Linked DNA regions of Canis lupus familiaris. The protein of the gene in region 5 purifies or fractionates together with the protein of the main gene of each other region. This does not show direct contact. Links are inferred from orthologs where the notes say so. Each region holds a gene or a part of one and is shown on either strand. Other genes may lie near its edges. The genes, in order: GATAD1, RUNX1, EED, MIER1, HDAC1, E2F4 and PHB.

The links.
Region 1: the proteins of HDAC1 (region 5) and GATAD1 purify together in Homo sapiens (affinity purification with mass spectrometry; 5 studies listed by BioGRID and IntAct, counting the BioPlex papers as one, with this or other methods). This does not show direct contact. The link is inferred for Canis lupus familiaris from reciprocal best matches to the Homo sapiens genes HDAC1 and GATAD1.
Region 2: the proteins of HDAC1 (region 5) and RUNX1 purify together in Homo sapiens (affinity purification with western blotting; 4 studies listed by BioGRID, with this or other methods). This does not show direct contact. The link is inferred for Canis lupus familiaris from reciprocal best matches to the Homo sapiens genes HDAC1 and RUNX1.
Region 3: the proteins of HDAC1 (region 5) and EED purify together in Homo sapiens (co-immunoprecipitation; 4 studies listed by BioGRID and IntAct, with this or other methods). This does not show direct contact. The link is inferred for Canis lupus familiaris from reciprocal best matches to the Homo sapiens genes HDAC1 and EED.
Region 4: the proteins of HDAC1 (region 5) and MIER1 purify together in Homo sapiens (co-immunoprecipitation; 8 studies listed by BioGRID and IntAct, counting the BioPlex papers as one, with this or other methods). This does not show direct contact. The link is inferred for Canis lupus familiaris from reciprocal best matches to the Homo sapiens genes HDAC1 and MIER1.
Region 6: the proteins of HDAC1 (region 5) and E2F4 purify together in Homo sapiens (affinity purification with western blotting; 4 studies listed by BioGRID). This does not show direct contact. The link is inferred for Canis lupus familiaris from reciprocal best matches to the Homo sapiens genes HDAC1 and E2F4.
Region 7: the proteins of HDAC1 (region 5) and PHB purify together in Homo sapiens (affinity purification with western blotting; 4 studies listed by BioGRID, with this or other methods). This does not show direct contact. The link is inferred for Canis lupus familiaris from reciprocal best matches to the Homo sapiens genes HDAC1 and PHB1.

Annotation. Positions count from the first base shown.
Region 1 is NC_049235.1:17,995,735-18,000,393, reverse strand, and holds the start of GATAD1 (GATA zinc finger domain-containing protein 1), read right to left. Parts: upstream 3,018-4,659; 5' UTR 2,926-3,017; coding exon 2,653-2,925; intron 1,903-2,652; coding exon 1,777-1,902; intron 1,664-1,776; coding exon 1,605-1,663; intron 1,094-1,604; coding exon 1,015-1,093; intron 1-1,014. UniProt on the Homo sapiens protein: Component of some chromatin complex recruited to chromatin sites methylated 'Lys-4' of histone H3 (H3K4me), with a preference for trimethylated form (H3K4me3).
Region 2 is NC_049252.1:29,932,196-29,936,181, reverse strand, and holds part of RUNX1 (runt-related transcription factor 1), read left to right. Parts: intron 1-3,290; coding exon 3,291-3,544; intron 3,545-3,986.
Region 3 is NC_049242.1:13,357,093-13,360,723, forward strand, and holds the end of EED (polycomb protein EED), read right to left. Parts: intron 2,394-3,631; coding exon 2,235-2,393; intron 1,573-2,234; coding exon 1,499-1,572; intron 1,000-1,498; coding exon 873-999; 3' UTR 664-872; downstream 1-663. UniProt on the Homo sapiens protein: Polycomb group (PcG) protein. Component of the PRC2/EED-EZH2 complex, which methylates 'Lys-9' and 'Lys-27' of histone H3, leading to transcriptional repression of the affected target gene.
Region 4 is NC_049226.1:43,893,186-43,897,171, forward strand, and holds part of MIER1 (mesoderm induction early response protein 1), read right to left. Parts: intron 3,760-3,986; coding exon 3,598-3,759; intron 3,068-3,597; coding exon 2,935-3,067; intron 1,574-2,934; coding exon 1,509-1,573; intron 1-1,508. UniProt on the Homo sapiens protein: Transcriptional repressor regulating the expression of a number of genes including SP1 target genes. Probably functions through recruitment of HDAC1 a histone deacetylase involved in chromatin silencing.
Region 5 is NC_049223.1:68,324,183-68,328,168, forward strand, and holds part of HDAC1 (histone deacetylase 1), read right to left. Parts: intron 2,788-3,986; coding exon 2,675-2,787; intron 1-2,674. UniProt on the Homo sapiens protein: Histone deacetylase that catalyzes the deacetylation of lysine residues on the N-terminal part of the core histones (H2A, H2B, H3 and H4).
Region 6 is NC_049226.1:82,760,607-82,765,195, reverse strand, and holds the start of E2F4 (transcription factor E2F4), read left to right. Parts: upstream 1-1,577; 5' UTR 1,578-1,728; coding exon of another isoform or gene 1,729-1,822; intron 1,823-2,046; coding exon of another isoform or gene 2,047-2,193; exon of another isoform or gene 2,194-2,319; intron 2,320-2,990; 5' UTR 2,991-3,179; intron 3,180-3,288; exon of another isoform or gene 3,289-3,334; 5' UTR 3,335-3,604; coding exon 3,605-3,925; intron 3,926-4,350; coding exon 4,351-4,460; intron 4,461-4,589. Other genes in the region: EXOC3L1 (exocyst complex component 3-like protein), read right to left, coding at 1-493, 1,041-1,260, 1,341-1,516, 1,729-1,822, 2,047-2,193. UniProt on the Homo sapiens protein: Transcription activator that binds DNA cooperatively with DP proteins through the E2 recognition site, 5'-TTTC[CG]CGC-3' found in the promoter region of a number of genes whose products are involved in cell cycle regulation or in DNA replication.
Region 7 is NC_049230.1:25,485,926-25,490,450, reverse strand, and holds the start of PHB (prohibitin), read left to right. Parts: upstream 1-1,413; 5' UTR 1,414-1,450; intron 1,451-3,088; 5' UTR 3,089-3,115; coding exon 3,116-3,203; intron 3,204-4,525.

The DNA.
Region 1 (4,659 bases), on a different chromosome or scaffold from region 5:
TGTCTTTTTAAAAATTTTTATTTATTTATTCATGAGAGACAGAGAGAGAGAGAGGCAGAGACACAGGCAGAGGGAGAAGCAGGCTCCACACAGGAAGCCCGATGTGGGACTCGATCCCGGGTCTCCAGGATCAGGCCCTGAGGCAAAGGCTGACCCACTCAGGCATCCTGTGGAAAAGTATCTCTTTGAAGACATTTTCCATCTCAACTACGGTACTAGTTGGGACCCTTGTCATCAGAGGAAATGTTCCAGGGAAGCTGAACTAAGACTATATGCAACTTCCTTGGCAGTTCTTAGTTATTTACCACCACCCACCCATTACAGCAATCCCTTCTTAAGCTGCAGTACATGCTTATATGTCACAACACAAAAACCAGGCCTCCCGAAATGTGTCTTGGTATCATCCTTGAAGACAGGGGTTGCTAGAGAAATAGCTACTGAAATAACTGCAGAGCATATTCTACCACAGAGGGAAACATGTGGTGATGCAACTATCATCAATCGCACGTTGACTTAACATGCTTTGTTAGCAGGTGTCTCATTTTAAGAAAACTAAATTAGAAAAGTCTTAAATAAATTAGGGGCAACTGGAGGATCCCTGGGAGGCTCAGCGTTCTGGAGCCTGCCTTCGGCCAGGGCGTGATCCTGGAGTCCAAAGTTGAGCTCCCTGCATGGAGCCTGCTTCTCCCTCTGCCTGTGTCTCTGCCTCTCTCTCTCTCTCTCTCTCTCTCTCTCTCTCTCTCGGTCTCTCTGTGTCTCTCATGAATAAATAAAATCTTAAAAAAAAAATTAGGGGCAACTATTTTCAGTAAGAAAAGAATCTGCAATCTGCACAAGAATTTACTACAGGGGGAATGCCTGGGTGGCTCAGCGGTTTAGTGTCTGCCTTCGGCCCAGGGCATGATCCTGGAGTCCCACATTGGGCTCCTGCATGGAGCCTGCTTCTCCCTCTGCCACTCTCTCTGTCTCATGAATAAATGAACAAAATCTTAAAAAATAATAATAATAATTTACCACAGGGCCCCTCTGTGTTTTACAAGGGAATATGCCCAACTTCAGAACTTCCTTTAGTGGTAAGGGAAGCATTCCTGTTCTGAAAGAAAAGAACACCGTACTGAGGTTTAAAAAAAGTCGTCTATAATGCACTGCCCACTGTGTATGGCCATTTTCCTCTTGTGTTTACAAAAATACTGAGAACTCCATGCAACAAAAGGCACTTTCAACTACTCCCCCGCCCCACACACACATCTTCCAACCATCTATTTTTTTATAGCAGCAGAAGGTTTAGCAAAATTTTTGATTCACATTCATCAAATTGATTATCGTAAACTTTCTGGGGCTGTAATAAACAAATGTGGAAATGAATGAGTTCCAGTATTATTTACTTAGATCTTTAAAGAATCAAAAAAAAAATTTCTTCCCTAATATATCTGGCCTTATCAAGAACCATAATCCCACCTCTTCCTTTGCATGGAGGACCCTATAAAATGCATTCAAGATTTATGTTTCTTTTTTTCAGACTCAAACCTTTTATTTCCCAGCAGGAAAAAAAAAAAAAAAAGCTAAAAAAATAGGATATTATTAACTATAAATAGTATGTATACCTCCTGCAACAGAGCTCACTTCCTTCCAGCAAGTGTGGACCACTCACTCCCCCAGGACACTGCGGAAAGGCCCCGGAAGAGCAAAAGTTCAGATGGGAGATGAAGGCAGTGACAGGACACACTACACACACAAGGCCATTACTGTAAAAGACACTGTCCACAATCATCTTACATTTTTTAATTTAAAAATATGTCTTCTCCCTTTTCCTTTGGTGGAAACTTTCTTTTCAGCAGCTGGAGCAGATTTGTATTTAGTGTTTCTCAGCCGAGCAGACCTTCTGTGAATTTCCTGCTTACTCTGTTACAGAAACAATTAAAGAACAAAAAAGATCAAAGTCGTAGAAAGATTGCTGTCCCCATTCAACCATCTTCCGGGGACTCCAGAGTAAGCCCCTTACGCTGACTGACCTTTCAAAACCACCCAAGAATGTGCCTTTTCTTTTGCCGCTGGGAAAAAGTACCTCCGGGACTGGGCTGATTACAACAGGGAGCGCCCTAGACAAGCATCTGCAGAGCCTCCAAAAAGGTGTCAACTCCTTACAACAGGGCCTGGGGGAGGCGTCGGAGGGAAGTCCAGGGCAAGGGGAGGACTACTTATTTGTTGTTTATAGTCCAGGAGAACTCTCCGACCCCAGGGAGCACGTTGGGTATGGCCCTTCCTGCAGTGGGATACTTACCGTGCTGTCATTTAAAACAAGGACACGATAATCTTACTTAGTAACATAATAAATTAACAGGGAAGTCAGTCCAGCAGCACGGCCCTATTTACGTGTGTACACGTGTGAGATGTCTGGTTACCACCGCGGATGTCACTACACTGAGGGGGGGGGTGGGGGTGGGGGGACTTCTGAAGGGTCTTAAATTTTCTTGCTCCTTTACACTTTCAATTTCTCACAATAATAGAAGGTGCTCCGCCCGGGCCAAATCTACACAGTCGCAATCCCCGCCAGGCGGGAGCGGGCGGGCCTCCCCAGCAGGGTCACCGCGCCCCGCAGGGACCGCGCCCCCCGGCCGGCCGGCCTCCGCGGGGGGGCCCGGAGGAGCTCACCTGCTTGCCGCCCCCGCCCCCGTTGCTCTGCGGAGGGGCGGCCGAGGTGCTGGCGAAGGTCGCCGCGCCGAAGCCGCCGCCGCCGCCACCGCCGCCGCCGCCGCCGCCGCCCCCCGTCCCGCCGGCCGCCCCCGAGCCGCCGCCGCCCGCGCCGCCCGCGCCGCCCCGGCCCGTGCAGTGGTGGCAGAGGATCTCCCCCTGCGGGCCCTTCTTCCACATGGAGGACGACGTGGTCTTGCAGACGCTGCAGGTGGGCTTCAGGCCCAGTGGCATCGTGGCGGGCTCGGGCGGCCCCCGCGGGCGCAGCGACACGGGAATGGCGACCGCCGGCTCGGGCCGCCCGCCGGCCGGCCCGCCACTCCCAGCGACAGGAAGAGCGGCGCGGGCGCCGAGCGGTCCACGCAGGGACCTGAGGGCGGCCGCTGCCCCCTGGAGGCAGGAAGGCGGCGACACCCGCTCCGCGACAGGCGGCGGCCGCGGCGGCCCCAGCGGCGGGAGGCGGGGCCGGGGGCGGGGCCTGGCCCGCGCGGCTTCCGGCGGTGGGTGGGGCCTGCGCGCCGCGGCCCCGGCCCTCTGACCGGAAGTGCCCCCTCGGGCTCCCCGGAAGCGGACCGTGGCGGGGACCCCCGTCTCCCTCTGCGGGAGGGGCGGGCGGGCTTTTTTTTGGCTTTAGGTCTGGGATCGGCCGGGGAGATGCAGAACGCCGAATTCAACTTGAATTTCAGAGAAACCACGAGTGCCATTTTGATATGAGTGTATCCCATGCACTATTCTTGGTTTCTCTGAAATTCAGATTTAACTGCGGGTGCTGTGTTTTTATTTGCGAAGTCTGGCACTCCTGAGGACGCCTGTACGCTGTTGAAGATTACAGTGTAGACCCCCCAGATACTTGTGCTGAATGTGTCGTGTCTATTGACGTTCATGCATTAGTTGAGACACATTTTAAAACATTTAGGATGGGGCAGCCCGGGGCGGGGGGACGGGGGGCTCCGCGGTTTAGCACCGCCTTCCTGATCCTGAGACCCGGCATGGCATCGAGTCCCACGTCGGGCTCCCTGCATGGAGCCTGCTTCTCTCTCTGTGTGCGTCTCTCATGAATAAATAAAATCTTTTTTTTTTAATTTTTATTTATTTATGATAGTCACAGAGAGAGAGGCGCAGAGACACAGGCAGAGGGAGAAGCAGGCTCCATGCACCGGGAGCCCGATGTGGGATTCGATCCCGGGTCTCCAGGATCACGCCCTGGGCCAAAGGCAGGCGCCAAACCGCTGCGCCACCCAGGGATCCCAAATAAAATCTTTAAAAAGTAAGAAAGCCTACGATGATGTCAAGCAGATGTTCCTTAGCTATTGGGTGGTGATGTTATCCCAGGTCCTGCAGCCTCTAAGCCGTAGGCCGCTGAGAGCATGAGGGTGGAAAGCCAAATAACTGATTTGGCCTAGGATGAGAGCATTATGACAAGCCAGCCCCCCTCTTATCCAAGTCGCTGGTCTGAACAGGCCTCCCCAGAGAAACGGGTCTCTGCTTTTCAGCCTCACTTCATAGTGTCCTACCTGTTTTCAGGATGCTGGATTTTCTAGACTTGGCATACTAGGAGGCATCTCAGTGAATATGCTGGTGGCATGCCTCAGCGAGAGAAAGAAAAATAAACTGTATTGAATGCCTATGATGTCACAAAATCACATTTAGTACATATGACCACCTTGAAAAGAGTTATTATCCTTATTTTGTTGACTGATGACTAACGGAGGAACCATAATTTGGACCGGCTGCAGATACAACTTCTGCTCTGACACCACATTCAGAAGGCCTTCAAAACAGCCCTGGGGTCTGGGCTGTGACTTGGGCATTCTTTTTATCTTTTCAAATGGGTTTTTTTTTTTAAAGATTTATTTATGCATGAGAGACACACAGAGAGAAGCAGAGACATAGGCAGAGGGAGAAGCAGGCTCCCTGCCGGGAGCCTGATGAGGGACTTGATCCCAGGACCTTGGGATCACTACCTGA
Region 2 (3,986 bases), on a different chromosome or scaffold from region 5:
CTGCTGCCCCCTGGCGTCCGCCCCGAGCCCGCGGCCCGCAGCGCCTCCCGCGGGGCCGGCGCCAGCCTCCCGGCGGCTCGGAGCGGCCCGTGCGGCCTCTCCGGTCCTGGGGCCAGGGAAGCAGCCCGCGCGCCCGGGAAGGGCCCCCCCCCCCCCCGGCTGGCCCGCCCTGGCCGACGCCTCCGTTAGGCCCCAGAGGCAGCGCCGAGGGAGAATCCGGCGCTTCGGCGCCCCCAGCACCCTAGCCGCGCGTCCGCAGCCGGGAAGGAGGCGGCGGCCGGAGGGGCCCCGCGGGGGGCGGGTGACGGACCCCTGCTCCGGGGAGCTGCAGCGGAGGGTCCCCTGTTGGGGGTGGGGATGAGCGCCCTCCCCCGGGAGACGGGCGGCCCCGCCGCTGGGAGTGGGGCACCGGGTGGGTTCCCCGGGGAGCCAGGGAGCCGCGGGGCGCGGGGGGTGGGGGTGGGGAACGGGCCCTGCGCGCCGGGGCGGGGCCCTCTAAGCTCCGCGAAAATGCCCGCGGCGCCGCGGGGACGGACGCAGGGGAAGTTCCCGCCCGCGCGCAAAGCCAGGCTGGGTGCAGCACCCCGGGCCGCTCCGGCGCGCGGGGGCGGGGAGACGAGCCAGCGCCGTTTCCGGGGAGCCGGAGGTGGGTGCGGGGCTCGGGCGACCTGGGCCCGGCGGTGGGCGCTCGCGCGGCCTGCGCGGGGGCCGCCCCAGCGGATGCTTTCAACTTTCTTCCCCGTCGCTGGCTGTTCGGGGTCGCCTTTCGGATCAGGACCCTCCTCTGCTCCCCGCGAAGCACAGCCCGGCGGAGCGCGGCCGCGGTGCGTAAGGAAGCCGCAGCCCAGACGCGGTGAAAAACACCGATGAAAGCAAACCGACCCGAGAGAGAAAACTAAAAACACAAAACCATGTTGTGGAGACCGAGAACCTTCTGGCCTCGTTAAATGAATCAGCGCCACTTCTCTGCAGCTGCCCCCACCCCCACCCCCATGGCTACGGTGGCGCGCGGAGCCGCTCTCCGGCCCCCTCGCGGCCGAATCCCACCCACGCTGGGGAAGCAGAAGCTCGGCCGTGGGTGGCCGCGCAGGACCCGGGGCCGCCCCGGGTGGGGGGGCGGGGGTGAGCTCCGGCGCCGGGCCCGGGAGCCTCGCGGCGGCCGCTGCATCTCCAGGGCGCTAGGGGCGCCTCCCCTCCGGCTGGGCTCCGGGCACCGCGCGCGGCCCGAGCCCTCGCTGCGCCGGCCGGCGTCCTCTCTCTCCGCGTCCTCGCGGGGCCGCGTGCGCCCCGGGGCGGGGCCTCGGGCGGGGGTGCGTGCGTGGATGCGGGCGCGCGGGGCGAGCGGGGAGGCCGGGCAGCCTGGGGCGCTCCGCGCGGGCGGCGTACAGTAGCGCGCGGCGGCGGCGGCGGCGGGGGCGCGCGGGCCAATTCCAGGAGCCCGCGGCCGCGAGCCGCGCCCTGGCTGATACCGGAAAGGCCCGTGATTGGCCGGCGGCCGCCCCTATGCAAACGAGCTGAGGGAATGGAATTCCTCGGGCCGGGCTTACAGTAAAAGCACGTTCATTTCCAGGCACTCTCATTCATAGAGCCAGCGGGCGCAGGGGCACGGGCGCCCCGAGCCGGACCAGCAGGGCACACGCCGCCCGGCCTCGCGCCCACAGGCACCGCGTCCCGGGGCTCCCGGGGACGCCACCCTTGCTGCTTCTCCTGGACCGCCGTTGGAGCTACGATTTTTTATTTTTTTCATTTTTTATTATTTTTTTCCTTTTTAACCTTTCTCTCTTACTTTTGAATGAACTGGCCTCTTGGCTGGATGTTTCAACTTCTTTCCTGCCGGTGAACTTTTTCCCCCGGTCGTTTCCTTTGACAACTGCGGGAGAACGTGTGCCGCGCGTCGAGGCGAGCCCGTGAAGTTGCGTGTGCGTGGCCCGTGTGCGTGGGAGTGTGACTGCGTGTGTAACTCGAGCCACCCCGTCTGTTCCGACCTGCGCTGCGGAGCCCACGCTCCAGGCCCGCTCCACCTGCTGCGGTTTCGCGGTGATCGTAGGTACAGGCGCGTCCAGGCGTCTAAGCCGAGGGCGCTGGGGCGACGTTGGAGGAAGATCAGCTCGCTACGGCCCAAGTCGGGCTGACTCGCCGAGCCGGTGTAGACAGTGGCTGGCTTCGGAAGAGTGCGTGTCTGCGTGCGTGCGACCCGGCTGCGGCTCAGCTCCCACCAACCACAGGATCAGCCACAAACTTAACCAACATCCCCAAACCCGAGTTCTCAGATGTGGAGAGCTGTACTCTGAGTGTCATCGACTTGGACTTTTATTATTATTATTATTATCATCATCATTTTTTTTAAAGATTAGCTTTTCTTTGAAAAGCTGAGTTTTCTGAACTGAGCGTTTTGCCAGAATTTATTAAGAGAACATGACAAGTATTTCTAGCCCAGCCCTTCTTCAACTACTGAAGCTTATTTTCAAGGCTACTTAAAAAAAAAAAAAAATCAGCAGCGAACATTAATGGATTTCTGTTGTGTTTAAATTCTCTACAGATTGAATTGTAAATATTTTATGAAGTAGAGCATATGTATATATTTATATATACGTGCACATACATTAGTAGCATGACCTTTGGAAGTCGCAGCTCTTGCTTTTGAGGACCGAAGCCGGTTTTGCATGATCAAAGTGGCTCTGTATATGGAAGACACTCGTATATTTTGTGTTGTCTTGGGACTTTAGGCAAAACTCACCTGAAAACAAAAACAAAACAAACAAAAAAACCCTGACAGGCGTTTAACTACTGGAACTTCCAAATTATGTATTGGCTGGCTCGTTTGCTCTGCGTATAAATATTTTAGAAACTGTATGGGAATTTTGCCTCCGGGAACTTTTTTTTTTTTTTTTTAAACAGCCAAAGACTGAAAGTTAAACTCTCAAAGCAAGACTCAGAAGATAGCCTCCCTTGGCATTTGACTTTGGATTCCAGTCGCCCGATTTTTTTTTTTTTTTTTTTTTTTAAAGCATTAGGCGATCGGTTGCTAGGAGCCCTGCCTGGGTCGGACGGAGGCTGCCCTGCAAAATAGAACTTTCCCCCTCCGGGACTGTTAGTGACTTCGTCTCCCGCCCGCCTCCCCCCAGCCCCCCGCCCACCCCCGCCCCCCCTGCAGCAATAAAGGGCCCCTGAACTTATATGTTGGTCTCCCTGGAGCTGCTCGCCGAGGATCCGCGCCCTCGTCGCCGGCTGGTAGGAGCTGTTTGCAGGGTCCTAACTCAATCGGCTTGTTGTGATGCGTATCCCCGTAGATGCCAGCACGAGCCGCCGCTTCACGCCGCCTTCCACCGCGCTGAGCCCGGGCAAGATGAGCGAGGCGCTGCCGCTGGGCGCCCCGGACGCCGGCGCCGCCCTGGCCGGCAAGCTGAGGACCGGCGACCGCAGCATGGTGGAGGTGCTGGCCGACCACCCCGGCGAGCTGGTGCGCACCGACAGCCCCAACTTCCTCTGCTCCGTGCTGCCCACGCACTGGCGCTGCAACAAGACCCTGCCCATCGCTTTCAAGGTACTCGGCCCGGAGCGGGTGGCGGGAGGACCGCGGAGGCCGGGGGGCGATCCGGGAGGCCCGCGGCCAGGCGGGCGGGGCCGGGTCCTCGGAAGGGGCCGGCGCTGCCCCCCGCGGCCCCTGGTCCATCCTCCTGCCCTCGGGACTCGGGGGATGCTCGGTTGCCCTGGCGATCCTGGGGGAGGGGGGGTGTGTGTGCACGGGGACGGGGGATAAAAACATCCGATTGCCCCCCAAAGACGTGCACTGAGGGCCGGTCGCGACCTCCCGGACCTCCCGGACCGAGGTCCTGAGTTTGCACAAAGTAGGCAAAGTTATACCCCAGCTCCCCCCCACCCCCCCACCCCACCCCGGCCTGCCTGCCTGCTGCCATGCTTCTCCCCTCCCCACCCCTGGCTTGACACCCAAGCCATTCCGCTTCCCTCCCAGGGAGGCATCAGGA
Region 3 (3,631 bases), on a different chromosome or scaffold from region 5:
TAGATGCTCAAACAGTGAGCCACCCAGGCTTCCCCAGATTTTTAAATATAATTACTATAAAGTTATTATAGAAGAAACACAAAGACTTAGGAAATACAATGTCTGAAATATAATGTCTGATACATAAATGTCTGATATGTAACAAATGAGGTCCCTAAGTGGCTCAGTCAGTTCAGCGTCTGCCTTTGGCTCAGGTCATGATCCCAGGATCCTGGGATCAAGTCCCACTTTAGGATCCTTGCTCAGCAAGGAGTCTGCTTCTCCCTCTACCACTCCCCCTGCTTGTGATCTCTCTCGAATAAATGAATGAATGAATGAAATCTTTATAAAAAAGAAGCAACAATGTATTTAGGGTACATCTGAGTACTATTCCAGCTGCTTCACTTATTTAATCATTTGATCCTTAATAACCCTATGAGGTAGGTATTCTTATCCCTGTTTCACACAAGAAGAAACTGAGGTAGATGTTAAATTACTTAGCTCAGCTCATGTTTGCAGAGCCAAGACTAAAGTCCGCTTAATCCTAGAGCTTACACTTAATCACTACATTATATAGCTTTCTTCAGTTAAAAGGACTACAAAAATGATCATTACAAAAAAGAAAGGGAATACTTTTATTACTTTCAACATTTCTTTTTATCACAATGAAAATAAACACACAGCTTTACAAAAATAAATTTTTATTAAAAGCAGTAGAGTCTGAGCAGAAGACAGTACAAAGAATGTAAACAATGTAAACATCACTACATTCAGCTCAGCCTGATTGAATGCTGAAAGACAACTCTAAATGCTCTATGTGCCCTTACTAGCAAGATACATTAATTCTATTATACACAGAAAACACACTCTAATTTTGATAAGGAAAAAATATTTTATCGAAGTCGGTCCCAGCGCCAAATACTGGCATCATCACAAACAGCTATAAGAATACTGCTATCCCTGCTAAAACTGGTTTGTCGAATAGCAGCACCACATTTATGATGAGTCAGTGTTGTACATCTAGGAAAAAACAAGACAATAGGTTAAAAGCCATTCATAAATATTGTCAGTAGCAAATTAAACCAACGAATAAGAAAACAAACAGATGTTCCAAGTCATATGGAAAGCATTTAAAATATCACTAAGAGCTCAATCTCTAATTTCATAACATTTGGGTATATTTTAAATTAATAAAAAGAAAGGTGTAACTTGTCACCAAAGTACTCATGATAAACAGCCATTATGAGAATAAAAAATATTTTTAAATAACTGAGTCATATAAATGTTAAAAATGATTTAAGAATGATACTTCAAGGGATCCATGGGTGGCTCAATGGTTGAGCGTCCCAGGTTGTGATCCCGGAGTCCTGGGATTGAGTCCCAATCAGGCTCCAAGCACGGAGCCTCCTTCTCCCTCTATGTGTCTCTGCCTCTCTGTGTCTCTCATGAATAAATTAAATATTGGCATAGCGTTTGAGAAAAAGACAGAAATTATCAATAAAAATTTCTAAATACTTACTTAGCTTTATGAGGATCTTCCACTTCTAAATCCCAAACATAAAGTTTGCCAACCTGATTGCCCAATGCAAGCATCTGTATAAACGTATTTTTAAAAACACCAAATTATTAAAATAGGCTATAGAGCATTCAAATATTCCTAAGATATATTCATATTTCATAAAAACCTCAGTTCCAGACTATGGCTATACTCCTGATTATTTCTATTTCTTTGTATCTTATACTTCTGATTCGTAAATGGATAACAGCAACTTATACTTCAGAGGCATCCTGAGCAAATTAGAAGGCAAATTTATGAAGGACTTTACAATTTACATTGTAGCAAAAGCTACAGACAGCTCCTCCAAAGTTTTCTTATAGAAATAAATACCCAGATAATTTGTTACTACAAATTCATAACACCAATCTCTAAAATTTCTCTAAGCTTTTCTACAAAAAAGCTATTTAAAAAGTTAACATTCAATCACCATAACATTAAATCTTAGTAACAGATGTTATGGAAAGTAAGCACCATTGCCAAGATTGACACCTGTCAACTGCATTTATAATACGCACTGCAAATGGTGTGGAGAGCCTACTCTATAAAGATAGAATAAATAACATCAACGGCTAAAGTAATCAATCACTACAAGATATCAAGGTAGATTCTTAGAGGAAACTGAACATGGATGCACAACAGAGAAAAGTGAAATTACAATGGTCTGAAGTAATTTTAAAATGTAGAAATATGTTGCTACCTTTTGCCAGAAATCCATAGAAAACCTCATGTACCAAATGTCACACTGGCTGTAATCGAATCGCCCAAGAATAGTCACATTAGACTCACTGGGTTTAATTTTATCTATATCATCTTCCATTTTGCCAGGTTTCCAGCACACAATGGCATTTTCACAAGACTTTAGAAGACAGAAATGAGAAAAAATTGTTACATATAGAACTGAAATTTAAAACTTAAAACAAAGCCTTCTTTTCTCTATTATCTTTTTAGAATTGACAGTCTTAAGACCTGGTTATCCATCTAGTAGATACAGTGATATACATTTATTTATATTTACAGAGTCAAGGTCCACACTTGAGGATAAGAGGTCATCTTACAACAGAATTTGACAATATTAAAAAGCATTATATTATCTGGAATATCCATTTTGAAGTCAGAATTTCTTTTCCAAACCAAATTCAGCTCTCAATACTCTGGCATCCAGAGACTTGAGTGTTTTATAACATTTGTTATAAAATATAAAATATAAAATTAAAAAATATATATATAAAATTATATGTTATAAAATATAAAATTATAATTTATAAAATTATAAACGATAAAATTATAAAAACTCTATACAAAAATATGCTTTTCAGTATGGCCCCTGCTTAGAGGCCTTAAAAATCATATTATATAGAAGGTAATAAACTCAGTGGTTTAAATCAAGACATTGATATGGGGATACGACTGAAATAGACTAAGTTATACTTTTCTTATTCTGTAACATAGTATCTTTGCTGAAAAAAAACTGCAACACAGTGGGCACTATTCATATTATAGGTCAGTGGTGTGCCAATTAAGGAACATTTGGCAATGTCCCTGGCCTTTAGCAGGTAGAGGCCAGAGATGCTGCTACATCCTACAATCAATATACAGGATGGCCCCTCCCATTAAAAATAAAGATTGTGTAGCCCAGTATTTCAACAGAACCTGGACTGAGAAATTCCTGTTGGTAGAGAGCTTTCCGGAGTTTTACAGGACACAGCCCACACAGCCACATGTTGCAGCTCTGCCCGTTTCACTAACATATGAATGGTTCAAAAGCAGGGCCAAAGGAAGATTAGGGAGGGGACAACACTTCCCCCCATTTTTCTTCTCTTTTTTAGATTATATAAAATCCCAGGGCTATATATCTGATATACAAGTTCTTTACTGTAAAGTACCTTAGACATCACCTACTTTGATGACTTAACTAAATGTACAACTGGAATGACAGCTTGTAGACTTCCATCCAAAGACTCCTCTTGGTCCCAACCCTAATGAATCAGAATCTCTACAAGGGAAGGCCAACGCAGAAAAACTGCCACAGTTCTTCAAGTGCTTGTCACTGATTACACTGGTAAAAGATCCTTAATAAATAAAGTCCTCGCAGGG
Region 4 (3,986 bases), on a different chromosome or scaffold from region 5:
GTGGCGCAGCGGTTTAGCGCCTGCCTTTGGCCCAGGGCGCGATCCTGGAGACCCGGGATCGAATCCCACATCGGGCTCCCGGTGCATGGAGCCTGCTTCTCCCTCTGCCTGTGTCTCTGCCTCTCTCTCTCTCTCTCTCTCTCTGTGACTATCATAAATAAATAAAAATTAAAAAAAATAAAATAAAATAAAATAAAAATGAAATAATAATTCAACACCTACTCAAATAATCTATTATATATTTTAGACACAAAAAACAATTTAAGTTGAAGATAAAGTTTAAAGGAATAGTTTAAAAGATACAGAAACTTGAATTTATAACAGTTTAAGATGACTTCTAAGGTTGCTAGCTTTTTTCATAATTGCTGCATAGTGTAGGAATCAGGTAAAAGTGAAGAACACTTACCCAATGGGTCACATAAACAGTAACTCTGTGACCCTTGTTTTCGGTCTTCAGCCTCATTTTTCATTCATCATTCACTCAAATTAATTAATACATACTGTACAGGGCTAACCTTCCCTCCCATTCTAACTGACACCTTCTTTTACCATTCTAACACACTGAAAGACAGTCTCTCTCTTCTAAACATCTCCTTGGACCCCCAGAAATGGATCAATTCTGGCAGAAGACTACAATCCTTGGGTAGCCCAGTCCAGTCCAAGTTCATTTGAATACTTCATTCTTCCTAATAGAAACTCTGTAAGTATGAAATGTTCCCTTATTTTAATCAGCAACGATGTCAGCTCTTTTATAAGTCTGCTCCAGGCAAACCAAAAACTATAAACTATCACCACCACAAATAACAACAACAACAAAAAAGCCACAGGAAAGACTCAACAGTGTTAACTAAATAACAAGTACAACAAAGTGCAGAAAGCCCACTCAACATGATGTTCAGAGCTACTCTGCTTCCAAAGAAATGACTATTCATACACTAAATTTAAAATCAGACCTAGGAAAAAGAACAGCAAAAAACAAAACAAAACAATGCAGTTTTATAGAGCAAAATCGAGTAAGCTAGCTTAGTAAGAATGACTTCATTTCTTCTATATAAATGATTTGTTCTAATCAATTCTGCATGACATTTTGACACATTTTCCTAGTACCACTGCTTTGTAACAGCTTAAGATTAATTCTTCTACTCAATTGTATAACTAAGTTGTACAGTCATACACTTTTATAATTAAAAATCTAAATTACTAAAATCTACTTAACAAAACCAAAGCCTCAAATGCTTTCCCAAATATCTAAATTAGCACTAGTTAAAAATTTCAATTTCTATTCTTGGTTTGAGACTGATTTGCTCAAAAAAGTCAAATTCTTTCTATACCATTATTTTATTTTGTAAAAAAATATTTTTCTCACCTTGATGTATTAAGGGGAAATTTGAAACACTTAAATGTCACAAAAGGGCTTACCTCAACAATACCAATATACAGCTAGTAAAATAATACTTGCTTTTTAATATTAATTTACCTAAATGTTGGGAAAATACGGCTCTAACTACCTTTTTCCAGTCTTCTGATGGAATATAATCTTCATCTTCTTCTGATTCTTCTTCTATTTCACTATCTAGATAAAAGAAGATAGTATTAGAAAATAATTATTTATCCTATCCACATCTGTATATTATTTTTATATCTACTATCAAACATTTAAGTATGCCTAAAAGTATCTGCAGAATAGGACTAAGATATTTCTGACCAAATAATACCGTTTTAAACAAAGCAAAATAACCCATAAAAACTTTCTAGGATAATCTTAGAACACTGTATTCTCAGGAAATGATCTTCTACAAAAAAATTAATGGAATACAAAGTTTAAAAGGGTAATATTACATATGCAAGTTAAATCTTCCCATGGAAAAGCTAAGATAAGCAGTATATATAGAGCTTCTGTGCATACATCATAACTGACATACCAGATCAGAAGTATGAAATAAATATTGTTTTAAAAATGCAGTCACTTAGCATCCCACTTTTTTTTTTTTTTAGCATCCCACTTTTAAGCAAACTTTGGCAATTTACCTAAGAGAAAAAGGAAAAATACCAAGTTTTCCCCAAACTTAATATTAACACAATTTCAGTAATCTTTCCTTACACTGATACGCTTTTTAAGTGGATCAATCGTTGATCAAAATTCACAATAAAATATCATTAGCAGCACTACATTCACTGCTAAACTAAATACGTATCAGAAATCATTGACAGGAAGCAGTAGCCATGTTCAATCAATTATTAGATCGCTACATTTCATGAGAGGTTATTGTTCTTCAAATGTTTTTCTTTCTTTTAAAGCACAGAAATCCAAACAAGTTTAAATAACACTAATGGTTGCTTTTCTCTTATCAAAGAGCTGTTATCCATAGTAATGATTCCTGCTTAGAATGAAACACCATGGAGTAGATGAAGCATGCAAATATCCAAGTTATATACATTAAATGTTGTTTCAACTACTGCAGATCTCTGACTAGATCACAACCATAGTAAAATTAGAAGAGTTCTCTGTGTATAACATATTACCACCTCAAGAGTAAGCCAGTTTTTTGAGAACTGGGAGCCACTGATTAGAGAAAGCAATGCTTATGAATATAGCTTAAAAAGGCTAAGAGAAAAGAAAGTAGAAAATGAAAACTGAGGAAAAGACTAGATGAAATAAAAAGATGGTCATGAGACAAATTTAAAGAAATGTTGAGGAAGGAAAAAAGGAACACATTCAAAATCAAGTAGTGTAGTGACACAACAATCTCTGCAATCTACTCATAGACAACAAGGCCCTAACACTGCTAAATGAATAACCCAGAACAAAATACGTTACTGTTCAGCCAGATTTGAGAGTAAAATGAATTCAAACAGATGAATGGAAAAGAAGTGCCATTTTACATCATATATTTAGTAAAAATTATCCAAACATTAGCAACTAATGACACTTACTTGTGTCAAAATATTTACATCGACGTGGGCGGATTATTTCTTGGGCATCTTGAGAAGCAACAGATTGTGAGGGATCATCATTGGAAGACTGAGTTTCATCCTCTTGACCTGATGAGTCCTTTATATTCTCTTCCTGTAGAATAATAAACTTCTTTAAGATGTAAGGAAAATTGTTGCAGAGGAAAAGTTACAGTATTCCAAATAAACTAAATGGCTAAAATAAATACACTAAATGCAGTATGGTATTAGTGGAAAAACTGGTGAAATCTGAATTGCCCGTAGTTTAACTAGTATGGTATCAATTCTTACTTTTCATAAATATACCATGGTTACACGAGATATAAATAAATAGGGAAAACTGGGTGAAGAGTACAGAGAAACTCTATACCATATTTGAATTGCTCTATAAATCTAAAATTATTTCAAAACAAAATTAAAAAATTGAATACAAACTATCCATTAGCTTTTATTACTTAAAAAGCAGTAGTATTTTTTTTAAAGTTGGTATAAATTTATTTAGAAGAGGCATTCAAAAGAAATCTGGAATGACACAGATGAAACTATTATTTTTCAGGAGTAGGTTACAGAGGACTTCCAAAATTAAGAAATTTTTACTTCAACAAAGATAAAGACTACAATCTTAATAAATGTATATATTCTTACTTTATTTTCCCCACTACAGCCACTGTTATCATCATTATCAGCATCTTCATCATCTTCACCTTCTTCTTCCTCTTCCTCCTCCTCCTCATCTTCTTCAGGTAGTCGAATAGTACTATCATAACCATAAAGACTGAGAAGTTCATGAATTGGCATGTCTCCTTCCTAAATAAACCAAATAAAAAGTTAATTTCTGAATAGGTGAATATTTTATATTCGTGTAATTCACATCTTCATTCCATAGAGATTATCTTATTAGAGAACTGTATCAAGAATTCTCAAATCCTAAAAGGTGAACAAAAAGAATTCTGAAATCCAGGAAAATGCTAGTCTTTCAAGAATTTCTAAAAGAGACTAATCAATTCCAATAGCTAACAACAAAGCCTTTAAGC
Region 5 (3,986 bases):
TCTACTTAAAATATATATATATATCTTAGGTTGAGGGAGTAGGAGGAGAACAAATGGACACATAAAGACTCTGGAACCAAAAAGATATGGGTTGGTTCTTAGGTTCATGTCAATCATCTTCTCTGACCTTGTTTCTTCAGCTATAAATTAAAGGTGCTATAAGGATTATATAAAATAACAGGTAGCCCTGGCCTACCACCCAAGCAATCTTCAATAAATGTTCATTTATTTTTCCTTACTTGAAGATAGGATCCATTTTTTAATACTTCAGTATCACTCATGGAGTTTAATATAGTTCCTGGAATATGACAAGTATTCAACAAAAATATACTGAATGAGGGGATCCCTGGGTGGCGCAGTGGTTTAGCGCCTGCCTTTGGCCCAGAGCGCGATCCTGGAGACCCGGGATCGAGTCCCACGTCGGGCTCCCGGTGCATGGAGCCTGCTTCTCCCTCTGCCTGTGTCTCTGCCTCTCTCTCTCTCTCTCTCTCTGTGTGTGACTATCATAAATATATATATATACTGAATGAAAGAGAGAAAGAGGGCTTGAGGTAACTTTTGAAGATGAGTAAAATATGACTGGGCAGAGTAATCCTCCCAGTCAGGATGGGGTAGAAAGAGGCAGAATCTGATCTGAGGGTTCTGAGAGGGGAGTGACAGAAAAGGAGGCAAGCTAGAGCCAGATTAGCAAGGTATAGATGTATAAGAGGGAACTCTGGAAGGTCTCGGCGCTCGCTATTCCACATTCAGGTATCCTCTTTTTATCTAAATGCTAGTCTACTCCCTAGAGTCCCTCAAAACCTCTGTCTGCTACCTTTTATGTTTTTCATTCTCAGATGCCTTTCACACCTGACAAAGGTCTCTGGTCCCACATCTGCCTGCTCCTCTGTCTACCTTCCCTCCTTGCTTCCCCAGCTGCCTCCAGTGGCTCTAGGGACATAACAGGGCCATCTGAGACAGAAGACTCATCTCCTCTCAGTCTCTGGAATGGTGAGGAAGGATACTGCTGTTGCTAGGTTACTTAAGCTGCCAGCACAGACTTTAACCACAGACTCTTAGGCTCTAACCATAAGGCAACATAGGCTCCCAGCCCTTCTTTATTTTCTCATTTGGACCTTTGCAACAGCCTAACTGGCTTCCCTACTAAAATGCATGCCTGGAGGCTCCTGACTGGCTCAGTTGGTGGAACATGTGACTCTTGATCTCGAGGCTGAGAGTTTTCACCCCATACCGGGCAGATTACTTAGCACCTGGGTGGCTCAGTCGGTTTAAGCATCCAACTCTTGGTTTCAGCTCAAGTCATAGTCTCACGGTTGCAGGATCAAGCCCCATGTGTGGCTCTGCACTCAATGCGGTCTGCTTCAAATTCTCTCTCCCTTTCCCTCCCACCCACTAACTCTATTTTCTAAAATTTAATTCATTTTTTTAATGTATTTGACAGAGAGAGAAAGCACAAGTAGGCACAGAGGGAGAAGCAGGAAGCCTCATGTGGGGCTCGATCCCAGAATCCTGAGATCATGACCTGAGCCGAAGGCAGACACTTAACCGACTGAGCCACCCAGCTGCACCCCCCCAATAAATAAATAAAATATTTTAAGAATAAATAAAAATAAAATGCATACCTGTTTTATCTCTCTTTGATTTAAAATCCATTACTTGGGGATGCCTGGCTGGCTCAGTCAGTAGAGCATGCAACTCACCATCTTGGGGTTGAAGTTTCAGCCCCACACTGGGTGTAGAGATTACTTTAAAAAAAAAAAATCTTTGGAGCACCTGGGTGGCATAATCAATTAAGTGTCCAACTCTCAGGTTCAGCTCAGAATACGATCTCAAGGTCTTGAGATCAGGCCCCACATTACAGAATAATATGGATCCCTAACTTCTCTTTAAAAACTGATGGTGGGGGCACCACCAGTGGAGGCATCCCTCTCCATATGCTTGTGCTCTCTCTCTCAAATAAATACAATCTTTAAAAAATAAATAAATAAAATAAAAACCGGTAGGTGGGCAAAAATCAGACGGAACTGAGTCAAGCAGTTTAGAGTCTATGCTCTCTAGTAATTAGGGACTTGTCTAGCTCAACATAGTCCCAATTGCTCTTTTTTTAGGCATTGGATTTTTTTTTTTAAATCCTGGCCCATCAGAGTTGCTTATTACATAGTACAGCATATCCAATCCTTGCTGACCTCTCCAACTGTAGGTCCCTTTACTCACACCCGTGAGACCTTTACACTATAGCACTACCTAGAAACTACTCATAGTTTCCCCAAACACACCATACTGTTCTTACCTCTTTGCCTTTTTGTTTACACTCTTCCCTTGGTCTAGAATGTCAGTCCCCTCCTGAACTCCTGGCTAAATTCTATTCAATATTTAAAATTCTGCTCAGATAGTACCTCCAGGAAACATTCCAAGGCTTCCCTTCCTCCTTCACTTTTCATTATCTCTGTATCTTGTACATTATTTAATTGTACGCCCTCAGACTGTAGTACAATTTATTTGTGTACCTGTCAGTCTCCAGCACTGGAGCGAACCCTTTAAAAACAGAAATCTCTTTCAATGTCTGCCACATAACAGCCCATTCGACACATCTGATGAATGAGTAGTTGAGAAAATGAGATAACATAACTAGAGCTGATGGGGTTAGGGAGTGGTGGGGGTCCCAGTAACTCACATAGATTTCCATTTTTCGGTAGAGACCATAGTTAAGTAGCAAATTGTGAGTCATACGGATTCGGTGAGGCTTCATTGGGTGGCCTTGTCCATAATAGTAATTTCCAACATCCCCTGAAGAAAAAAGAGTGACAGTTTCAGTGACACAGTTAGACATACACTCCCAGGAGAATCCAGGAATTTTTATAACCATCTCCTAATCATATTCTTTCTCTTTCGTTCTAGTCCCCAAGATTCTCACCCACCTTGAGGAAGAGTTAACTCCAAAATAAAAATAAAACAAACAAACAAAAAAAAACAAAATAAAAATAAAACAAAACAAAACAGGAACAACAAACAAAAAAAGCAGGGGACTCTGGTGAGTCCAGCACTTAAAGATATAAGCCTAGCCGATGGGATCCCTGGGTGGCACAGCGGTTTAGCGCCTGACTTTGGCCCAGGGCGCGATCCTGGAGACCCGGGATCGAGTCCCACGTCGGGCTCCCGGTGCATGGAGCCTGCTTCTCCCTCTGCCTGTGTCTCTGCCTCTCTCTCTCACTGTGTGCCTATCATAAATAAATAAAATTTAAAAAATTAAAAAAAAAAATAAGCCTAGCCGACAGGCACTACACAGTGTAAAAACGGTTCATTCCAAAGCTACTGGAGAATAGCAGGCAACAAGGTGATTCACCTCACCGTATCTGCAAAGAATTCACTCCCACAACAGAAAAATAACCATTACTATTCAGAATTATTATAAGTCACAGTTCACCTCTTTCATATTAAAACACTTTATGGGGTTAAAGCACATTTACATTTACTTTCTTAATGGATCCTCAGGGGCAGCCCTGGTGGCGTAGCGGTTTGGCGCAGCCTGCAGCCTGGGGTGTGATCCTGGAGACCCAGGATCGAGTCCCACATCAGGCTCCCTGCACGGAGCCTGCTTCTCCCTCTGCCTGTGTCTTTGCCTCTCTCTCTCTGTGTCTATGAATAAATAAATAAAATCTTAAAAAAAAATTAATGGATCCTCACAAGAACCTGGTAAAACAGGAGTATTATTCCTATTGTATAGATAAGAAAACTAAACTCTTATCATCTCTAGCTTCCTCTATAGCAATAGACTTCTAATTGGTTCCTCTGTCTTCAACTCAAAACTATCTGCCACACTGACCAGTTATTTTTCTAACACACAGCTTTAATAACACCATTCCCCTGCTCAAAAACCCCTAATGACTCCCCATCTTCTACAGGATAAAGAACAACTTCACTAGCCTGGCATTCAACTCACAACACTCCCTCTCCTGCTCTCTCCCTCTCCCAGCTCTCTACTCTAA
Region 6 (4,589 bases), on a different chromosome or scaffold from region 5:
AGCTGAACCACCTTGTAGTGTGGTGGGCAGCAGGGTGCTACTAGTGCTTCAGCTGTGGCCAACTCGGCTGGTAAAGCCACCCGCAGAGCCTCCAGCCACCCCTTCAGGGCCCCGGGCTCGAGCAGAAGAGGTGTCCCAAAGTGGGTTCTCTCCAGGCCCTCCTGTAATGCCTGCAGACAACGCTGCCGCCAGTCCCTGGGGGTCAGCTCCAGGGAGGGTGTGTACCCGGCATCGACTTCCGCTATGCGCACAGCAGCCACCAGCAGGGCTGGGTCCTCCCGTGCCAGCTGCCCTGCGGCCCCCGCAGCCACCTCCACAGCCTGGCCAAGAGCCTCAGCCAGAGGGCCCAGCGCCTCAAAGACTGGCAGCTCCAGGCCCCCCAGAGGTGCCCACGTCTCCTCTTGTAGCTGCTCCAGCTCCCGAAGGCACGCATATGCCTCCAAGAGCTGCTGGGCATCAATCAGGGTCCGTGTGTGGGCCACTGCTGCTGGCACTAGGAAGGGAGAAGATGAAACAGCCCTAAGTTTCAAACTTCCCACCTGTGCAATGGGCACAGCCATGGATACTGAGGCCCCTAGGGCTGGAGTGATGTGTAAAATGCATAATAACCAGGACAGCAGAGCACTGACCAATCTGAAAGGACCCAGAGAAGGGCCCAGAGGCCTACTGGGCCAGATATAAATTCTTGAGTTGATGGAGCAAGAGGAAGTCAGGGATCCTGGAGGCAAGGCAGGGAAGAACTCGTGGACCCTTGCTAGTGGCTATTTACCCATCCTATTAAGGAATCATTTCAATAACTTTGCAACCAGGGCGGTCAGAGCCACTTGACTGGGTCTCAGCCCTGAGTCCTACAACGCATGCTTGACAATCCCAGCATGAGCTGATTTGTATCCAGATTCCTCTGCCATCAGAAACCTGAGTCACTCTCTGGGAGGTCCCTGGGGTGTCCCTCCCATCTAAGGGTGACGCCCTTTGGTCAGTAATGGGCATGTACTGACTGACTGTTGAGGGGCTGAGGCCCAGGGCCCCTGCACACTCACCTGCCCACAGCCGGGGCAGCAGCTGAGACAGGACCTGCAGTTGCTTGTGCTGTGCAACCTGTTCCCGCAGCGGTTTTAGGGTCTGTGTGGTCTCTGCCAGATCCTGAAGCAACCCATGGGCCTGGCCAAGGGCCTCACGGGCTGCCTGCAAGGCCTCAGAAGCCTGGGCCAGCTGCCACACACCAATCTTCACGCCCTCCAGGTAGGACTGCACCACCGACTAAGGAGGGAGGCAGCCTGTGAGGCCTGGCCAGGCCGGCAGCCCACCCCCAGCTCTCCTTTCCCTTGACCAATGCCCACCTTGATGCGCGCTTCCAAGGAGCAGGTACGCTGAACCTCACGGCTGCGGTACTGGCTCAGTCTAGCCAGCTGTTCCGGCCGGTAGAAGATGCCCGAGGCCCATTTGAGTGCTGCTCCTCGGGCCAGCTGCTCCGCCCTCTCCTGCTCTGGCCACTCAGGCCCTGGGCAGGAAGAGCCTGGGCAGCCTCGTCAGTTGGGCAAGGCCGATGGGAAGTGGCCCAAACCTGTTCCCCTTCCTACTTCCTAGCCTGTCCCCCTAGGGCAGTCTGACCCATTCCTCTTGCTGCCCTATAGAGCACCGGCCAGACCTGGCAAGGAGGACCCAACCCCACCAATGCCATCTTTTTGGCCACCATCCCTCCCCTAGTCCACCCGGAAGGGCTCCTACCGGGAGGAATTGAGGGCTGCATTTCATCCTTGGTTGCTGAGTCCATGGCAGTCCTTGGAGGAGCTGGAGATGAGGTAGGAGTCGGGGCAAGAGCCTGGGTTAGAGTGGGCAGAATGGGTGCTCCTGTGAGCTGCAGCCTCGGTCTAGGCCCCTCTGAGAAGGAGGAGGGGGTTTCTTGCCCAGCCCCCTCAGGAAACGGGAGGACTGGGTTTCTCAGTTTTGCCCCTGCAGATGCCAAGTGAGGCAGAGCAGACTCAAGCCCCTGCTGGCCCCAGCTCCAGCTCTGAACTGCAGAGGATGGTTTAGTATGGAACTCACCAGGCTTGACCAGGCATCCAGTTCCTTCTCCTTTGAAAACACTCTTTGGCCTTGAGGATGGCCCTCTCCCCCAGTCCTCAGGGCAAAGCAGGGTATTCTCTTCACTGGCTCACGAGGCCTGGGTGGCTCCAGCCTACACCCCAGCATGCAGCAGAATCCTCCCCAAGGAAGCCTCTGTACCACCTCCCCTGCCCAGGAGCACCCTCCTCCTTCGAAGGCCCCTCCTTCCCCAAGGCCAAATGCCCAGAAAGGAAGGAAGCTGAGTCTCTGGCCCTTTATTCCCAACAGGAAAGTGCATCTGCATTGTGGGATGGGGTGGGGAGGGCTGGGCGCCACTTCCTTGGGGGGAGGGGGTGTAGGAGTCCTGCCCAACCCATCCAGGACCTCTTACGTCCTGTGCTCAGGACACAGACTCATGTGAACTAGAAGGCCCTAATTTGGGGTAGAGAGCAGTGTGTGCAAATATGGGTGCAGACAACATCGCAGTAGGAAAACTGTGTTGATGGCTCCTCAGAGGGAGGGTAGGCACCCCTGCAGAGAACTGAGAGGCTGTTGTGAGGAAGGTGTGTGGTGGGTGATGGTAAGAGAGGGGTAGGAGGGCTCTGAAAGCTGTGTTTGTCTTGAGAGTTACAGGGGGCCATGGAGAGGACCACCAGGTAGTAATAATATAGTGGATGCTGGTTACCACCCAAATCCACCCTGCGGGACCACGCCACTTCTTCCCCTAGCTGTCCGGAACGTAGGTTGCTAAGATGTCACAGCTGAGTCTCTCACTCAAAGTCAGGGCACAAAGGCCTGATAACCTTGTCTGGACATGGACCACCTTGGAAGGGCCCCACCTCGGTTTCAGGGCTCCTAACAGGATGGCCTGAGACCTCTATTGTAACTGCATCACAGTTTAATTCACCTTTCTCCTCAATTTTGCGTGTCTTACTCCCTTACAGATGTGGATCCTCAATAAACTTCCCTGCAGACAGATTCCTGTCTCAAAGTCGGCTTCCCAGAGATCCTGACCTAAAGTAAATGATAATAAATATTGATGGTATCAAACATAACAAAACGGTACTAGCCACACCTAACCCTTTCTACCTGCCAGGAACTGCTCTAAGTGCTTTACTGACATGTGCGCATAGGTAAGCATGTTTGCATTGGTGGGAAGATGGTTACAATTCCATGGTCTCTGGGTACTGCAGGGTGGGGACGAGAGAAAGATGAGGCTGGGATCAGGGAAGGGGAATGGGAGTGGACACAAGTGGGCCCGCTGTACCCAATGCTGGCTGTTTGGCAGGAACTGAAGGACAGCAATGGGGTCAGTTAAACCAAGACACTGGGACAGCTTCCAGGAGCAGGTTGGGGGAAACACATTGCGGTCATCAAGCAGCGTGGTCTCCTCTTCCGCAAAGGGGACAGGCTGGGTATGCCTGGAAGGTTCTAGCGGCTTTCCCTTCTCTACTGCCGGGGCTGCCCCCCTGACTTCCTCCACCTGCCCCTGGACCCTGTCCCCTCTCCCGGGATCCCCGGATTGTCTTCGTCCTCTTCGGCGGTTGGACATTTGCTGATGGTCCCCGAAGTTTTGCTGCCGTGTCCGCAGAGAGGAATTGCGCCGGGTTCCCTGGGAGGGCGCGGAGCGGAAGCGGAAACAGCGGCGCTGGCGCCGGCGGCCGGGTGGCCAGGAACGGAAGCGGAAGTGGCGGCGGCGCCGGCCTGGCCTGGCCTGGCTGAGGGGAGGCGGCGGGCGGGAGCGATGGCGGAGGCCGGGCCGCAGGCGCCGCCGCCCCCGGGCACCCCAAGCCGGCACGAGAAGAGCTTGGGACTTCTCACCACCAAGTTCGTGTCGCTTCTGCAGGAGGCCAAGGACGGCGTGCTTGACCTCAAGCTGGTGCGGCCTGGGCTAAGGGGCGCCCGGGAGGATGGTGGACCAGGCAGGCCCGGACCGGTAGTGGGAACCCCTGGGGCGGCCCCGCTGAGCCCTCGGAGGGCAAAGCGCCATCCGTGTGCTTTCTCACAGGCGGGAGGCCAGGAGCGGTTTCATTCATTCAGCCGGGGCCATTGGGCGTCCGCTCTGTGCCAGGCTCTGGGCTGCAGGCGGTGGTCCTCGTGGCCCTCCTCGGCTGGTGTGGGGACATCAGTTCAGACGGTGCCGGGCCTCCTCTGCCCCGCGGTCCCGAGCTGCTGCAGTGCCTGGGAGGGGGATTGGGACTCGGGCCACCCCTTTTCCAGAACCCTTCCAGACTAGGTCTCAAGGTAGCTGGGGGAACACCTGAGAGTGGGCCTGAGTATCCTGCACTCTGTTCTGTCTGCCAGGCAGCTGACACCCTTGCTGTGCGCCAGAAGCGGCGGATTTACGACATTACCAACGTCCTGGAAGGTATCGGGCTGATCGAGAAAAAATCCAAGAATAGCATCCAGTGGAAGTGAGTGGGGGCACCCGGGAGAGCAATGGCGTCTCCCACCCAGAAGTGGCAGGGGTGTGGGGAGGAGGACACAGGAGAGAGCAGGGGCCACGGGACCCAGAGTTCCTGGCAGCTCCTCTCAGCCCCACT
Region 7 (4,525 bases), on a different chromosome or scaffold from region 5:
CAGAGGATAGGCTTACTTAAGTTATATAAGAGGATGCCCCTATTCTTAGAAAATACACAGAGATAAGATGGGAAATGAGAGAGAGAGAACAAATTAATGGAGGAAAGATGTTAGGGATTGAAGCCGACAGCCAAGAAAGAATTCTTACTACATCTTTGGATATATGAAAGCACAGGGGCAGGACCTGTGGGCAGAAAGAGCTGTACTGGGGTCCTGAGGAGGGGCCCATTATATGCTTTCAAGTTGGGAGGGGGTTAGGGATAGCGTGCGTCTCTATGGAATTTTGGAAGCAGGGTTTCCAGGATCTTGAGGGGGCTGCCTATTGTTGGGAAAAGTCATCTATTATTGTCTAATAAACCCTTAGTCATGAGACCCTTCAGATGTGTATCGGTGGGTCATATGCTTGGGGAATGATTGCCAGCACATATCTTGGGGAGGGGGGAGGGGGGAGAAAAAGGAAATTTCCAAAGGAATTTTTATATGTTAAAGTAGATTTACAGAGTCCTGGGGGTGGAGCTAAGATTCCCTTTTGCCCTTAGCAAAGTATTAAGATGGAGATAGTAGAGCTCTTAGAGGAACATCACTCTGCCTATTTTAAGGACTTATCAATGGACTGCAGGTAGTAAGGAAATTTAATAATTTCTCTTCTGCTTTTGTTACCCACATCACAAATGATAGAATATATGAAACAAAACGTTAGCCATAGATGAATGTAAGGGATATATGTGTTGTTTTATTCTTGCCACTTTTCCATTTTTTTTTTTAATAGTGTACAGGGAACACAGGACTCTAAGCCCAGCCCCTTTGCTAAATTGGTGCATGACCCTGAATGAATCCCTTCCTCTTTTTCTAGAACCTCTTTTCTAAGGTAGTCTCTGGCTGTGGTAACCAATGTCCCGCGACTCAGGACACTTCCTGACAAGGCTTTGGAAAGGTGGCCCCGTGTGCTTCCCCTCAAGGTCTCTAAGCCCACCAGTTATCTACCTACAACTTTCCCCAGGGTGTCCACCCGTCCTCCTTCGTCAGCCATAAACCTGTCCCAGCCCATCCCTGCCGCCACCATCCGCATGCCCAGCGACTCTTCCGAGGGCCCTAAGGTCCACCTTCCTGCAGGCTCTAGCACAGGTTCAGGACAAGCACGTGCATTTATCCCCAAAAAACTACAGCCCCCAAAAGGCTTTGCGACAACCTTTCGACGTTACCCACCAAAGAGGAAAGGCTTTCCAGCGCGGGCCCGACATTAAATGGCTCTTTGGGAATTGTAGTTCATTTGCGAAGACCAGGGGAACCAGGGTGAGGCCGCAAGCCACCCTTCCCAGAATGCACAGCGCTCTTTCCCACCAATCGGAGGCCCGGATCTTGGAAAGGGGGCGGGGAAGAGAAGGGGCTGCCCAGCGCATGCGCGGTACGTGTGGCTGGGGAATTCATGTGGAGGTCAGAGTGGAAGCAGGTGAGAATGGAGGGAACGCGTTCGGCTGGTGTTCGGGCGCCTCTGCAGCTCCGCTCCGCGTTCCCGTTCGCAATTTGGGCGGGCAGGATGCGTGCGTCGGTCTGCCTCGCGTCGGAGGGGAGGGGGGTGAGCCCGGGACCAGCCAGGAATTGCGTCGTGTAAGGGAGGCGTGCATGGGGGCGGGGTGAGGAATAATCCAGAAGCTGTTGGAAATGGAAAAGCTGAGAGGTCCGAACTGTGTGTCCTGGCCTCAGGTTAGGAACAGTGAAGCACACCGGGAGCGATCAAGAAAGCCTCAGATCTGAGAGGGAGGGAGGGGGGAGGATTTGAATCTAAGTGGACGACGACGCTGGGGCGGGGCATTAATAAAGTTGTGTGCGGGAGTAGATTGAAGTTAGGTCCGTCGTGACCTTAGCCCCGCCCTCTCCCTTGCAGTGCATCTCTGGAGAGCCTTTTTGCCCCATTGGTTCTTCCGGTATCTTGGTCCCAGGATGCTCCCCAGATCCTGCTACCATCATAGCAAATCATTCTTTTTTTTTTTTTTTTTCTTCCCAAGACTTTAATTTCATGAGACACGCACAGAGAGAAGCAGAGACACAGGCAGAGGGAGAAGTAGGCTCTCTGCGGAGAGCCTGGTGCGGGACTGGATCCCAGGACCCCGGGATCATGACTTGAGCCAAAGGTAGACGCTCAACCAGTGAGCCCCCCAGGTGCCCCATGGCAGGTCATTCCTAATACTGGAGCGGAGAAATACTCCTCACAGTATGGTGAGGAGTTAAGTCATACCTACCCTAGACTTAGACCTCCAGGTTCTAGTCCTGGTTCCACTACGAAATGGCTTTGTGATCTTCCGCTTATCTTGTAAGTTTGCTGTGTGCCTCGGTTTCCTCATCTGTAATAACCTGCTTCATAGGGTTTGGTGTGAGGGTTAAATAATTGCCATTAGAAGACTGCCTCCTGGTATTAAAGGTAGCTGCTAGTGTCACTTATGCTGTTGGAATCACCATGTAGCACATTCTTTGAGTTACTTTTCCAAACCAGAATTGCACAGACCCTACCATATACAACCTTCGTCTTGGGGCCCACTTGTCCAGGAAGTGGAAGGGTGGTTTAGTGTGGTGTGAAATTCTCTGTGGGTAGCAAGCCCATACCTCATTCCTGTTATTGAATCAAGTGTCCCCAGACCCCTTTTCCTTAGTGGTAGAAAAAGAAAGAAGAAATGGAAAAATTTTGAAAGCAGAGGAATTAATACTGCACTTTTCCAAGCTGTAGAGTTATTTATTAGATGTCCCTCCATGCGAGATTTAGAGCTTTGAAGAATGGGGAAATAGGGGCACCTAGGTGGCTCTGTTGGTTAAGGGTCTACCTTCAGCTCAGGTCATGATCCCAGAGTCTTGGGTTCGAGCCCTGCATTGGGCTCCCTGCTCAGCGGGGAGCCTGCTTCTCCCTCTCCCTCTGACTGCCTCTCTGCACAATTGTGCACATGGTTCTCTCTCTCTGTCAAATAAATAAATTCTTTTAAAAAAAAAAAAAGTGGGGAAATAAATAGCCAGTTTGAGAAGTGAATATGGTGTCTCAGGGCTTTCTCTTAGAATTTTGAGATCAAGATGTTTTGTTTGTTTTGTTTTTATCCCATAGGTGTGAGTGGGTCCAGCAGAAGGAGATATGGCTGCCAAAGTGTTTGAGTCCATTGGCAAGTTCGGCCTGGCCTTAGCTGTTGCAGGAGGAGTGGTGAATTCTGCCTTGTATAATGGTGAGGTACTGGGGGAAGGGAGTCACTGCCCTTTGTCGGAGGATTTCTATTGGCTTGCACAGCCGATGTGACACTCCTGGTGGCCACCACTGTCTGTGAATATGTTTGTGACCCAAAGGGTCACCTGCTGCCATCCTACACCATATGGTTGCATTGTCACTTGAGCCTCTGTCCTGTAGCCATTGGTTCTCTCACAGCCTCTCTTCCCAAAGAGCTTCCCAGCCTACTTGTTGGTTAAACATTCCCAGTTGCTCTTACAGGTTTGAAGTGATGCTGCAGCACAGTGTCAGGATCTCACTGGTGTGAGGATTAAATAATTGCTGGCTAAATTAAATAGATTAAATAATCTCACTGGCTAGCTGAAATGGAGATCTCACGTATCCCCTTCTGCTTTGTGTGGTCACCTTTGGTGACCTTACCTGAGCAGGAACTTTTACTCTGCTGCATTTGGATCATTCCAGACAAAATACCTGCATTGTCCAGCCTGTTTTTTTTTGTTGTTGTTGTTGTTTTGTTTTGTTTTGTTTTGTTTTAAGATTTAATTTATTCATGAGAAACAGAGAGAGAGAGAGAGAGAGGCAGAGACACAGGTGGAGGGAGAAGCAGGCTCCATGCAGGGAGCCTGATGCAGGACTTGATCCCAGGCCTCCAGGGTCACGCCCTGGGCCGAAGGTGGCACCAAACCCCTGAGCAACCTGGGCTGCCCATTGCCCAGCTTTTAACAGTGAGGCAGGAGCTTAAGCTGACTTTTCTTCTGTGACCTTAGGCAAGCCATTTCCCCCTCTCTAGGTCTCAGCTTCTTTTTTGGTCAAACAGTAAGACTCAACTGGTTTTACCTCTAAGACTGCTTCCAACTCATATTTTCTGACTTTCATGGTTGGGAAGCAGCAGTAGATTGATCTGCCTCATGTGTGACTGTCTGGCAAGAGGAAGATTACTTTTCAGAGTGAAGATATTTGGAGCAACTCTGAAGTCTAATAAGGCAGAGACAGCAGCTGACAAGAAAAGCTTACTTGGTTTAAGTGGCACAGCTCTGTGCTCTGTGCTATCTTTGTAGCCACTCTGCACAACTAGACAGTAGTCACCATCATTAATTTCTTTCTGAATCAAAAGAACAGCTCTGTAATCCCTTAAAACCTGAGAGAAACCAAGCTCTTGGAAAGAGTGGGACCTTCTGCATTTTAGGATTTCCATGGTGAGGGTGCTTCTTCTGGGAACACTGACTTAAATTGGAACCAGGATGGAATGTGGTAATGGTGAAGACTTTGGTGAGTTTTGGAAGGAAGTTTTAGGAGGTGATTTCCTGAAGATTTGTTGGAGGA